Oryctolagus cuniculus: one gene and its partners. The protein of the gene in region 3 binds, or shares a complex with, the protein of the main gene of each other region. Links are inferred from orthologs where the notes say so. Each region holds a gene or a part of one and is shown on either strand. Other genes may lie near its edges.

Region 1 (4,022 bases), on a different chromosome or scaffold from region 3:
AAACTCAAGATATGATCTAAAAAGATGTCAAATCTTTGAATCCTACTACTACATACTTGTAAACTTTGGGAATTTACTTTAGTAAATACAGATAACAAAGAGACAAATAAAAGTTACCAACCATCCTGCCACCCAGACACTATTATCATTACCAGTGAGGTGAAACTTGTTTTTTTCCCTTGTAAACCATAATACCACTGTTATTTTAATAAAAAAGGCTTCTACTATCATCTATAGTTTTACAATGACTATATCAAGAACACTTTTTCTTATCAATATGTATTCCTTTATAATATCATCGTATGACATACTACATTTATTTGCTCAATCCTCAAATGTTAGACATTTAAGGTATTACTGTCCCTCAAGTATTATAGATCAGTGTTGTGATGGACATCTTTGTAGCTGGCAACAATATCAGAAATGTCTAATCTGTCAGTTATAATCTTTAGGCGCTTGAAAGAGCTCAAAGTCATTTACTCCTGAACATTAAAATGTAATTTTAATGTAGTTTAATGTATAACTACACATGAAGCAACAAAGATGGCTTGCTTATGAATATATACACAGAAATTGCATTTAAAAATAATGCTAAGCACTGAGAAGATTTTGGGGGGGCGGTGAGAGAAGTAATTTTTTGTTCAACATTTACTTTAAGGGATAGTTTCTTCTCAATAAACTTTAAGTTCATTTATTTCAAAAATACACACCAAATTCAAGCATAAAATAGTTACATTAGTGGTACAGCTTGAAGATACCAAAATCCAATCTGCGTCATTAGCTTTAAAGGTCGTGTAAATGGCATATGAAAAGGAAGAGACATCTTCAGCTTTATGAGATCTATGTACGTACAGTTTAAAATAAACGTAGGCACTGGGCTTTTGCAATTTAAAGAGATGCCGAAAACTTGTCAACCTTTATATAAACCTTCCATACAACTTTTATGATTTTATATAATATAAATATAACCAAGCTTCCCACATACTATTCAGAATTTCTATAACTCACCCTGTTCTTCTTCAGGTTAGAAAGTTCATCCACAACGACTTTTTGTTCTTTAATCTACTGAAATAAAGAGAAACGCTTAAAACAGAATTTTAACTCTTAAAAACATGTTCAATTAGATGACGGCTTTAAAATTAGGCAGATGGCGTAAGAAGGTATCATGCGCTGATTGTCCAAATGGGCAGTCTGAGAAGATTCTTTCCAGTCTATGTGTGCACAGGTGGAGGGGGAAATGGGCATTAGACATCTAAATGTCACACAACCCACGGAGCCCAGCCAGTGGGTTTGATGTTGGCAACCGGCCTTCATGCCTGTGGCCACAGTTACTGAACAAGGCCTATACAAACAGACGATATGCACCAGAAGTAATACCAGTCTCTGACGATTTGTGTACTAAATGGTGCGGCTAGACAGTCCTTTTAACCAAGTAGTTCTAAATCCCCCTGTCTTGGCATCAATCTTCTTTGCACAGTGCTGGCTTCACTTTTCAATTTCAGGAGAGAACTCAAGTAAGTGCAAACTTTCTGATACTTTCTAGTAACTGGCTATTTTATGAACACGATCTATTACCTAACATCACCAGCGCCTCTAAAACCAGATGTAAGATTTTTACACTGCACCACACACTTGAGGGATCTGCCATAGGTCGGCAGCAGAGTGGGCTGTATTTTGCAAATTCACTCCCTGCCCCATGAGTCTCCCCCTTGTTGTCTCCAGAGCTGACACAGCTGCAGAAGGGACAGGATAAGGCTGACTTCCAAGGTTGAAACTATACCCTCCCCCTCTTTGAGACTTAACGCTTGTACCACAGTGCTTTCTTGTGCAGTTTAGGGATGTCAGGTCTGTATTTCACTTCCCACCAAAGAAGGAAGCTGTGATGCAGAGAGAACAGAGAGGTCTGTCCAAGACACCACTACTAGCTTGGAGCAGAACCAGTGAAGAATGCAGGACATTGAACTCCCTCCTCCACACGTTTAAAGGTTGCACCTGTTTCCGGCAGTTCAGGTCAGTATCAGAGTGGCTCCCCTCCCCCTCTTTCTCCGCAGATGAGTGACAATCAGATGTGCGAGGTTTAGGGCGGCCACTGCGGCTACAGCGGGGAACAGAGAAGGCAGCAGGTGGGCTAGGGAGCCCTTTGCGGGGGTCCGGGGCAGCCGATGAGGGCGGCTCGTTCAGGGACGCAGGAGCGTGCGTCCTCGGGACTAAAGTCACACTCGTACCGGAAGTGGGTTTCAGGTGTAGACCGACGTCAAGGATGAGCCCATGCCGCTGGCAGGGGTAACGGAAGGGGTGAGCTACAGATCTGGAAGGGCCGCGGAAACTCAGCCCACAAGACGCTTAGCGCGACTACTTCCAGGGAAGGGGAAGTGCCGACTGCTACCAACAGCAGAGCAGCGCAAGCCGAGGCCGTCTCCAGCGAAGCCCCGCGCTGCTCGCGGCCGGCCCTCTCTGGGTTGCCCCAGGCGCCGGGTCCTAAGCCCGGGAGGCCTGCTCGCTGCGTCCCACGCCCACCTTGTTGCAAAGATCCTCCTTGTGTAAGGTCCGGCCGCCGGCGGGGACCGGCACAGCGCTGTCCTCCGGGTGCACGCCCCGGCCGGGCATCTCCAACCAGCCGCAGACACGCAGGATTCACCAGAGCTCCCGAGAGTCCCACCACCGACCGCCCCAGCCACAGCGCCGGCAGCGTCACCTGCCTTGCAGAGGTCTCACCAACCTCCTCCGCGCGCTCACTCCAACGCCTGCGCAGTCCGGGCCTGACGCCCCCGCCCCCTCGCCAAGAGCGGTTCTACGCATGCGCACAAATGCCTAGAGCGCCAGTGTTTCGAGCCCGGTTGCGAAATCTAAGCAATTCATACGCCGACCCCCAGCGGATCGGAGGTAGAAACACTTTTGTGGGCTCTTGGACTACAAGTTACACGCGCCCCCTATTGGTGCAAATAAAGAACAGACGCGCAGTAGAAACACCAATTAGTTATTAACCAGTCAGATCCTGAACTAAAGCACAGATTTCATAGACACAATGTTGGCAACCGAACCCTACAGAATTGGAAAAGTTTTTGTTAATTTGTAACTAGGGTTTTCAGCTAAATACAATTTTATACGAATTTCAGGTGAATGAATACTTTTATTAGTGTACATCCTATGCAATATTTGTAATGTCTCATTCTTGCAAAAAAAAAAATGACCAAAAGTTGGAAATAGGCAAGAGATTACCTGATGTTCTTTCAGTGCTGTTCTAGGATTGACTTTCAATGAACTGAACTGTTTTACAACCTGGTGCAGGCAGGGGACAAAAGCAGAGGCAAACGTGTGGATTTTTGACTGGTAAAAATGCTAATAATTTCTACTAGGTCAATAAGATACTTCCAAGGTTATGATTTATTATCTGGAAGACATTAATCAGTTATGTATGTAACACTGAGGTCCTGTCTGACATTTCTTGACTGATAAATTCCTTGCTTTTCAAATGCTCTTTGAATTGATTTTCATATCTGACTGGTTTCCTCATTTACTAATGAGTTAAATAAAACCATGATATGTGTTTATTTTATATTTGCATATGAGACCACATATTTGAAAATTATATTCCAGTGTTGGGAATCACGATGTTCTATGGAGATGCTTAAGTGCACTTATGAGATGTAGACAAATTGTGTGACTTAATAGATGTACTTGGTGGCTTTTTTTAAGCCCTAGCATATCTTTCATCGGGTCTTCTAGTAAGAAAAGTTATATGAGGTCTGGACTGGTAAATTTTTATGTTTCTCCATGTATCTGTCTATCTGAAATTTAGAACAGGCTTCTTTATTTTTTTTTAATTTCTTTGACAGGTAGAATTATAGACAGTGAGAGAGACAGAGAAAAGGTCCTTCTTCTGTTGGTTAACTCCCCAAATGGCCACCATGGCCGGTGGTGTGCCAATCCGAAGCCAGGAGCCTTCTTCCTGGTCTCCCATGAGGGTGCAGGAGCCCAAGCACTTGGGCCATCCTCCACTGCCCTCCCAGGCCACAGCAGAG
Region 2 (4,169 bases), on a different chromosome or scaffold from region 3:
CCACTGGTTCACTCTCCAATTGGCCGCAACGGCTGGAGCTGTGCTAATCCGAAGCCAGGAGCCTGGAGCTTCATCTGGGCCTCCCACGTGGGTGCAGGGGCCCAAGGACTTGGGCCATCTTTTGCTGCTTTCCCAGGCCATGGCAGAGAGCTGGATCAGAAGTGGAGCAGCTGGGTCTCGAACCAGCACCCATATGGGATGCCAGCACTTCAGGCCAGGGTGTTAACCCACTGCACCACAGCACCGGCCCCTCAAATAAATAAATCTTTTTTTTTTTTTTTTGGACAGGAAGAGTTAGACAGTGAGAGACACAGAAAAGTTTTCCTTTTTCCGTTGGTTTACCCCTCAATGGCCGCTAAGGACAGTGCATTACAGCCGGCGCACTGTGCCGATTCAAAGCCAGGAGCCAGGTACTTCTCCTGGTCTCCCATGTGGGTGCAGGGCCCAAGCACTTGGGCCATCCTCCACTGCACTCCCGGGCCACAGCAGAGAGCTGGACTGGAAGAGGGGCAACCGGGACAGAATCGCCGCCCCAACTGGGACTAGGACTAGAACTCGGGGTGCCGGCGCCACAGGCGGAGGATTAGCCTAGTGAGCCGCGGCTCCGGCCATAAATACATCTTAAAAAAAAAAAAGATCAGAAATGTGCTGGAGGTGTCACAACAGGCAGGAGACGCACGGGTTTGGAGCTCGTGAGAGAGAGAATACTGGACAGTTGCGGGGTGGACGCTGGGCTACACGGGGTCTTACAGGATGACTCTGGATTTTACTTCCGTGCCAGGAGAAGCAACGGGAAGGCTGTACACATTGCAGCGCCCTTCAAACAGAACACAAACTTCTTCCCTTGGCCCCTCGGCCCTTCATCACGGCGGGGTCTCTGCTCTCTCACCCGCCCTGCCACCCCCTGAACTCTGGCCTCACCTACAGAGCTCTGCTTCTGAGATACTCAGCACCCGCCCCACGTCCAGGCCCATTCTTAGCCGCCTCCCGACTTGCACCTACACGTCTTCTGCTGTGTTTCTCACCAGAGTACAAGGGCAGCGGCTGTCGCCTTGATGGACCCCAGCGCAGTCTGCCACAGCTGATGAGGAGCTGGCAGCCCGCCACTAAGGCGCCCAGCGGGAATCCCCGGCCAGGCTGTGTCAGCACCCACTAGGCTGCGTCCACATCTGCGGCCTCCCGCCTGGTCTCCACCGGGGGCACGATGAAGGCCTCTATGGAGGTTTCATCTAACTGATACGTCACAATTATACAAACTATGGGATAAACGCGTTTCCATTCGGTACAGGGCGGCGGGCAGGAAGTCTCCACTCACCAGAGCCGCTGAGCTCCTTCTGCAGGGCCCTCAGGCCCTCTCGGTTCTGATTCCTTTTGGTGTCCAGGTCCACAATCTGCAAAGCACAGGGACAGGGGCTCTCAGCTACCTCCTGCCCAAGCTGGCACATCCCGACAGACACGGGGCTGCTGACGTCTTTCCCCTCCTAAACACAACGCTGTGCCCAGGTGCCGCCCACCCCACAGGGGCTGGCAAATGTCTGCTAAGTGGGCGATTCTGCAGTAACTAAACCAGAATCACCAGGGGCATCTGACGCCTCCCCACACTCTGATTAAGCAGGCCTAAGCAGCTCGGGTGCTGGACAAAGTACTCCCGCTGACTCCGACTCGGTATGGTGAGAAAGCACCACGCTGGCTGCTAAGCAGTGAGGAGGCGGGGGTGCCCGGCTGGGCTGGCGAGCCGGAGCACAGCACACCGAGGACTCCTGCTGGGCACCGCGAGCTGGGCACTTTCATCTTCCTATGTGCTCCCCTGAACAACCGTCGGGAGCACCTGCCACTGTTCCTCTCGGCCCGCACGCCGGAGGCAGTACTCAGCCCGACTCCTCCCCAGGTCTTCCCTCTCTCGGTAAACACAGGACCAGCCACTCAAGCACTACCTGAAGACGACAGGGAGTCGCGGACCACTCAATTCCCACTTCCTCACCTGCCACTGCCTCCTGATCCATCCACTTCGCCAGCACCAAAACCTGGAGCGGCAAACGCCCCTCGCTGGTCTCCTGGCCTCCATCCTCGCCCTCCTATAATCCGCACAGCTGCGGGAATATCCTAAAGCCTAGGTCCAGCTTTTTACCCACCCCTTCCCCGTGAACTCTCTTTAGAAGCGTGGCACTTAAATCAGAACCCGACCCACGCCGCCTGGGCAGGCCTGCAGCGCCCTCAGCGACCAGGGCAGCCCCCGTGACCTCCTCTTTGCCCTTCTTCTCCCCTCGGGGCCTTGACCGGCCCAGCGCGGCCAGACTCGCGGCGAGGCGCGGGAACTGCCTTTTGAAACAGGTGCTCGAGAAACCGGCCCGAAGCGGTAATGGGTCAGGACCCGGAGGACACGCTACGGGGCAGACAGGGACGGAGCCAGACTGAACGCCCACTTAACGCCAGCCAGCGTCCGACTCACGTTACCACGGCCGCCCGCGCCTGTGGTGGCGGAGCTCAGGCCACCGGCCCGGGTCCATCCACGGGCCCCGCGCGCTGCCCTACGCGCTGGCCGCCGGGCCCCAGCGCCGCGGCCCGGCCTCCTACCTGCCGCTTGTCCGCCAGCACCTCCTCCGCGAGCTCCTCCACCTCCACCAGGTACTGAAGCACTCGCTCCGCCTCGGGGGACAGCATGGCACCCGGCAGCTACCACCGCAGTTCAAACGCCACCAGGTTCAAGCTCTGCTCCGGCGCCGATTCGACTCCTCCGCGCACGCGCCGTCCGGACAGGGCTTCCGGCGCGCCTGCGCAATCAAAAGAAGCACTGTGGCGCGCTGGCTCCGACGCACGCGCGTTGACGGAACGCCAGAGGCGGGGCCTCTCTTTGAGGAGCGCGTTTGGAGCGCCCCCTGCAGGCCCAAAGAACACAATCGGCAGAGAGCGCTGCCTCCTACCCTTCCCGGTCCTCCCCGCTACTAATATTTCCTATGCACCCACTAGATGCCAGGCAGTTGGCAGTGAATAAAGAAACTAGTGGGAAACACTGACAAATAATTATACGCCATGGTGGGTAGTGGTAAAGGCTTTGCAGAAGTGGAAGTCAAGCCCGTGTGGCAGTGGGACTTATGTTTAACCTGAGACACCGTCATCTTCCCGGTTATGAATAAAGAGGCCTAGGAATCCCCTCATGGTCTTCGGAGGAAGCAGTGAATTTTTTTTTGTTTGACCCGTGTTTGTTGAATCCCTCTGTTGGGTCCGATGTCCAGAGTTGCTGACCTAGACATAAAGGAGGGGCTGGAAACTATGGGCAGCGACCCTTGAAGCTCCAAGTCAGAAAAGAGGTCTGCATGCACTGGACAGTGAATTGGTGTTGGGTCATGGGATCCAGGAGGGCACCCAGAGGAGGCAGGTGGGTGCAAGTGGCTCCCAGCAGAACCAGGAGGCTCCCTAGGGCTCTTCATGCCCTTCCCCTTCATGGAATGGCTGGGAAATCAGGGAAGGAAGGACTTTGAAAAGTTAACAGCAGGGTCCGGCGTTGTGGCGTAGCAGGTAAAACTGCTGCCTGGAGTGCCGGCATCCCATATGGGCACTGGTTTGAGTCCTGGCTGCTCCACTTCCAACCCAGCTCTCTGGCCTGGGGAAGCAGAGGAAGATGGCCCAAGTCCTTGGGCCCCTGCACCTGCATGGGAGACCTGGAAGAAGCCGCTGGCTCCTGGCTTCAGATTGGCGCAGCTCCAGCCATTGCGACCAATTGGGGAGTGAACCATCAGATGGAAGACCTCTCTCTCTCTCTGTGTCTCTCCTTCTCTCTCTGTGTAACTGTGATTTTCAAATAAATAATAAATCAATCTCTTTAAAAAGCATTAACAGCAGACCTGATCTAGACTCTGACCTCCCTGCCTCCCTGAATCCAGTGTAACCTTTATTCAAGAAGCAGAGAGAGACAGAGGTAGGCAGACAGAGGTTCTCTCCCCAGATGCCTTAATGAGCCAGGGCTGGGTCAGGCCAAGGCGAGGAGCTGGGAGTTCACCCCAAGGACTTGAGCCGTCACTGCTGCCTTGCTTGGTCTGCATTAGCAGGAAGCTGGTGACTCCAGCCTTTTGTTCTTGGCTCTTGGCCCACCCTCTCGGCCCCTCTGCCTTTCCTGTATCCCACAGCAACCTTCATCCAGACAGCATCCTTACCGCCCAGCGTTGTAGCCT
Region 3 (4,268 bases):
AAACGAATTAAAATGTAAATTTATTCTGGTGCGAAAAACTTTTGAAAGCCATGCATACACGGAGTCTTCAAAAAGTTCATGGAAATTGCACACTATGAAGAAATTATAAATGGATTTCAAAAATTTTGAACCAAACCAATCTTATTTTTCTTTACGTTATTTATTTATTTTCATTTTATTTGAAAGTCAGACAGAGTGATCTTCTATCCTCTGGGATACTCCCCAAATGCTGGCAAAAGCAAGGACTAGGCCAGGCTGAAATAAGGAGTCCAGAACTTCATCTGAGTCTCTTACATATTTTACGGGACCCAACTATGTCAGTCATCATCTGCTGCCTCCCAGGGTATGCATTATCAGAAACCTGGATCCAAAGTGAAGGAGCTGGGACTCGAACCAGGCACTCCACCAACATGTGATGCTAGTGTTCCAAGCAGGGACTTAACCACGGTTTAATTCTATTTTCCCACAAACTTTTAAAAGAACTCTCATGTCAAAACAAAACAAAACAAAACAAAAAAAAAAAAAAACAAAAAAACTCAATGTTCCTTTTACAGTCACTTTTTCCTGAAGGCAAAGAAAAGCTTAACAAACAGGTTTGAGAATTTGGAAAGGACAACCGAACTTTTACACGCAAATTACTTGGGAAGACTTCACAAGTAAGGGTAAGGACTCTAGGCTCTAGATATGGGAATAGCATTTGGGGGTGCGAGCATCTGAATTCTCCTCTGGGCTCAGGCCAGGACTTGCTGGGTTAGATGCTAAAGATGCAAAATACAGGCATTCAATCACTTGAGTGCATACAAAGAAAAAGCTTGCCCATTTAATTAAACACACGGGATTATTCCTAAGTACAAAATAGCAGATCTTTTGCAAACGACTCAGGGACCCTCCATTTGACTAATAAAATGAGATGCTTACACATAGTATTGCCAATCTCTGCTTAGCTCCAGTCATAGATTGTGGGCCACAGAGCTGCAATCCTCAAAGAGGAATTCTAGAAAAATGCGTCTCCATTAAAAAGTTTTTAAATGCTCATACTCGTTCCCATCACCGGGAGTGAAACGCGAACCTCTCGGGTGAAGTCAAGATGTGACTTGCCTGTCCGCCTCCCAGGCTCTGCCTTTTAAATACTAAACGCTTCATTCCCTAGCTCTACCTCCACCTGTGCGTTCTACCTCCCCTGGAAACCGCCAAATCCACAAAAGCCGCGAACAGTCCCCACAGGCTCCACGCGCTGCTTGTGCAGTTTCCAATAGGCTAGTTCATTGCCAAAGGATCTCTGCTCCCACGCCCTACAGTCCTACCTGATCTCCTTTGATTCAGTAAAGCCCTGACCTTCTCTTTTTCCCCTTGGCGGGTCTTACTTCCTTTCAGGACCGCCCCTCCCCACCTGCTTATTTGGTTGGTCAGCGCGCTTGTTATACGTCATTCACCCGCGCCACCCGGAAGCCGCGGTTATACCAACCCGTTCTTATCGCCGGCGGCCCTCAGGTAAGGGCCGCATTTTGGTATCCCTGGGTGGCCGAGTCCTAGAGTTGGGAAGGGCAGAAGGCGGAACCCCCAGCAGGACCCGAACGTGCCCATTTCCCAACGTTGAGAGGGTGGAGATGACCTGCATGAGTCCATACTGAAGTGGTCAACGTGGTCTTCCCTCTGCTCATTCCCCAGGAGCCCATAATGGAGACGCCCCCTAAAGGGCGGGTGGTTGAGGCCACGGGAGAGAAAGTTCTGCGCTATGAGGCCTTCATCAGTGACGTGCTGCAGCGGGACTTGCGGTGAGTGACAGCGAGAGGGGCGGGGCCTTCAGAATAGTCCACGTGGTGGGTGGGGCGTTTAAAGTCGGGGGCCAAGCCTTCAGATTGGTGGGCGAGACGTTCGGAGCCCGTCACCACGCGCCATTCGAAGGGGAAAGGAGGAGCGACTTCCGGGGTGCGATTTGGCTAGGACGTGGCGTTCATAGGGCGTGTCTGCGCATGCGCGGTCCCGATGTTGCTTAATGGATTAAGGGCCAAATTCCAGATCCACAGTTCTGGGGTTTGAGTTCTGGCTCGGCTACCTGCCATCCGTGTAAACATCGCACCTTGCCCCTCCTTTCTGTGCCTTATAAATTTCTCAAATCAGTAAAATGAGGAAGTTTATTACGGAACCTTATTCATGCAGTGGTTGAGTTTAAAAAAGTGTGATGCCTGAAATATGTTAAAGGTTCAAGGAATGTGAAAAGCTATTATTACTAATCTGAGCAGGAAGTAAGGCTTAGACTATGAGCATCCCGAAAGGGGTGGAGGATTTTTCTAGGGTGAAGATGAGACATAGAGATTGACATTTGGGAGTAAAGTGTAATAATAGTAAGAGCTAACACGTATATAAAGCTTATCATTTGGAAGACATCATTCTAAGTGTCTTATAGTAAACATTCATTTAATCCCAGTGCCTCCGTGAGGTTAGAATGCCACTCCTATTTTGTAGATGAGAAAACTGCATATAGAACAGTTTACTTAGTGAAGTCACACCACTAGCAAAGGGTAGAACCCAGATTCAAACCCAGGCAGTCTGACCCAGTGTCCAGAATTTTAACTTCTACACTAAAAGGCCTACTTAGAGCATGGTAACTGGAGCACCTCAAAGAATCATGGTATAAGGTTTCCCAAGGAGGACAAAGCTGCCTGTTGGTCACCATTTGTACTTTTGTCCCATCAGAAAGGTGCTGGACCATCGAGACAAGGTATATGAGCAGCTGGCCAAATACCTTCAGCTAAGAAATGTCATTGAACGACTCCAGGTAGATATATCATGGTTGGGTACTGTTTTTTTTTTTTTTTTTCATTTGGTTTTGGTATGTGTGTGATGGGGGGAGCATGGGAAGGAACTGAGAAGAGAGACCCTAGACCAAAACCTGTCACCTGACCTACAAATTGACCACTGACCCCTACCTCTTTTTCCCTGGCCCCACAGGAAGCTAAGCAATCGGAGTTATATATGCAGGTGGATTTGGGCTGTAACTTCTTCGTTGACACAGTGGTGTGAGTGTCTACCCGCCCTTCTGAGCCCTTCCTTCATGCAAGATATTTTTTTTTTACCATCTTCTATGTACCAAACACTGTGCTAGATTTTACATACCTTAGGACATAACCTAAGTACTGGGAATATGACAAGAAATAAAATAGAATAAAGTCCCTGTCTTCCCAGAGTCTCAATTTGGGGAAGGGGAGGGAGTAAAAAATTAACTAAACTGTATGGTATGATAAACAGTAATAAGGATGTCTTCCACTTCCTCTAACCTCTCTCTCCTCAGCTCAGATACTTCACGCATCTATGTGGCCCTGGGATATGGTTTTTTCCTGGAATTAACACTGGCAGAAGCTCTCAAGTTCATTGATCGTAAGAGCTCACTCCTCACACAGTAAGTGCATTCTTGAAGGTAGTATCTAAAACACCCCACCATTTTTTTAAAGAATTTATTTATTTTATTTGAGAAGTAGAGTTACAGACAGTGAGAGGGAGAGATAGGGAGAAAGGTCTTCCTTCTGTTGGTTCACTCCCCAGATGGCTGCAACTGCTGGAGCTGCGCAGATCCAAAGCCAGAAACCAGGTGCTTCTTCCAGGTCTCCCACGTGGGTGCAGGGGCCCAAGCACTTGGGCCATCTTCTATTGCTTTCCCAGGCTATAGCAGAGAGCTGGATTGGAAGTGGAGCAACCGGGACTAGAACTGGTGCCTATATAAGATGCCGGCGCCACAGGTGGAGGATTGACCTGTGCCATTGCATTGGCCCCAACACCCCACCATTTTCAACACTCTTCTCCCTTAAGTTAGAGACCTACCTCCGTTCCTCCTCTGGGCTGTAGCTGAGGAAAGGGGATGCAAAGTTCAGCCCCAGGTATAGCACATAATAAACACTCCAGTAAGGGAGCTTTGTATCATTCATTCACACAAACATATTGGGCATCTTCTGTTTACCACACTCTGTGCTTGACAGTGGAGATGCCCCAGGGAACAAGACAGAAGAGTTTCTTGAGAGCTTACATTCTAGAGGGACTGTATTATTAGACCTAAATACAACTATGACCGGATCCATGAGGCCTCAGCCTGTAAATCAGTAACAGTAAAACAGGTTACCTCTAATTTAACATGTTCATTTTCCTGCTCATTGCTGTGCTCTTGCCACAGTGACTTGCACATGCTGCTTTAAATGTCCCAAGAATGCTCTCACCTCAGGGCAGATGCCATGGCTGTTTTCTCTGCTTGCAGTGCTCTTTCCCCAGTACTCCTG

What was found. The genes of interacting proteins can lie anywhere in the genome.
Region 1: UXT (region 3) and ASDURF share a complex: the UniProt entries of both Homo sapiens proteins name them as parts of the PAQosome complex. The link is inferred for Oryctolagus cuniculus from reciprocal best matches to the Homo sapiens genes UXT and ASDURF.
Region 2: UXT (region 3) and PDRG1 share a complex: the UniProt entries of both Homo sapiens proteins name them as parts of the PAQosome complex. The link is inferred for Oryctolagus cuniculus from reciprocal best matches to the Homo sapiens genes UXT and PDRG1.

The regions. Positions count from the first base shown.
Region 1 is NC_091434.1:50,691,748-50,695,769, forward strand, and holds the start of ASDURF (ASNSD1 upstream open reading frame protein), read right to left. Parts: upstream 2,806-4,022; 5' UTR 2,608-2,805; coding exon 2,518-2,607; intron 1,063-2,517; coding exon 1,009-1,062; intron 1-1,008.
Region 2 is NC_091442.1:25,802,954-25,807,122, reverse strand, and holds the start of PDRG1 (p53 and DNA damage-regulated protein 1), read right to left. Parts: upstream 2,806-4,169; 5' UTR 2,662-2,805; coding exon 2,575-2,661; intron 1,392-2,574; coding exon 1,316-1,391; intron 1-1,315. UniProt on the Homo sapiens protein: May play a role in chaperone-mediated protein folding.
Region 3 is NC_091453.1:33,164,712-33,168,979, reverse strand, and holds the start of UXT (protein UXT), read left to right. Parts: upstream 1-1,463; 5' UTR 1,464-1,491; exon of another isoform or gene 1,492-1,668; 5' UTR 1,669-1,677; coding exon 1,678-1,775; intron 1,776-2,697; coding exon 2,698-2,779; intron 2,780-2,952; coding exon 2,953-3,020; intron 3,021-3,292; coding exon 3,293-3,400; intron 3,401-4,268. UniProt on the Homo sapiens protein: Involved in gene transcription regulation. Acts in concert with the corepressor URI1 to regulate androgen receptor AR-mediated transcription. Together with URI1, associates with chromatin to the NKX3-1 promoter region.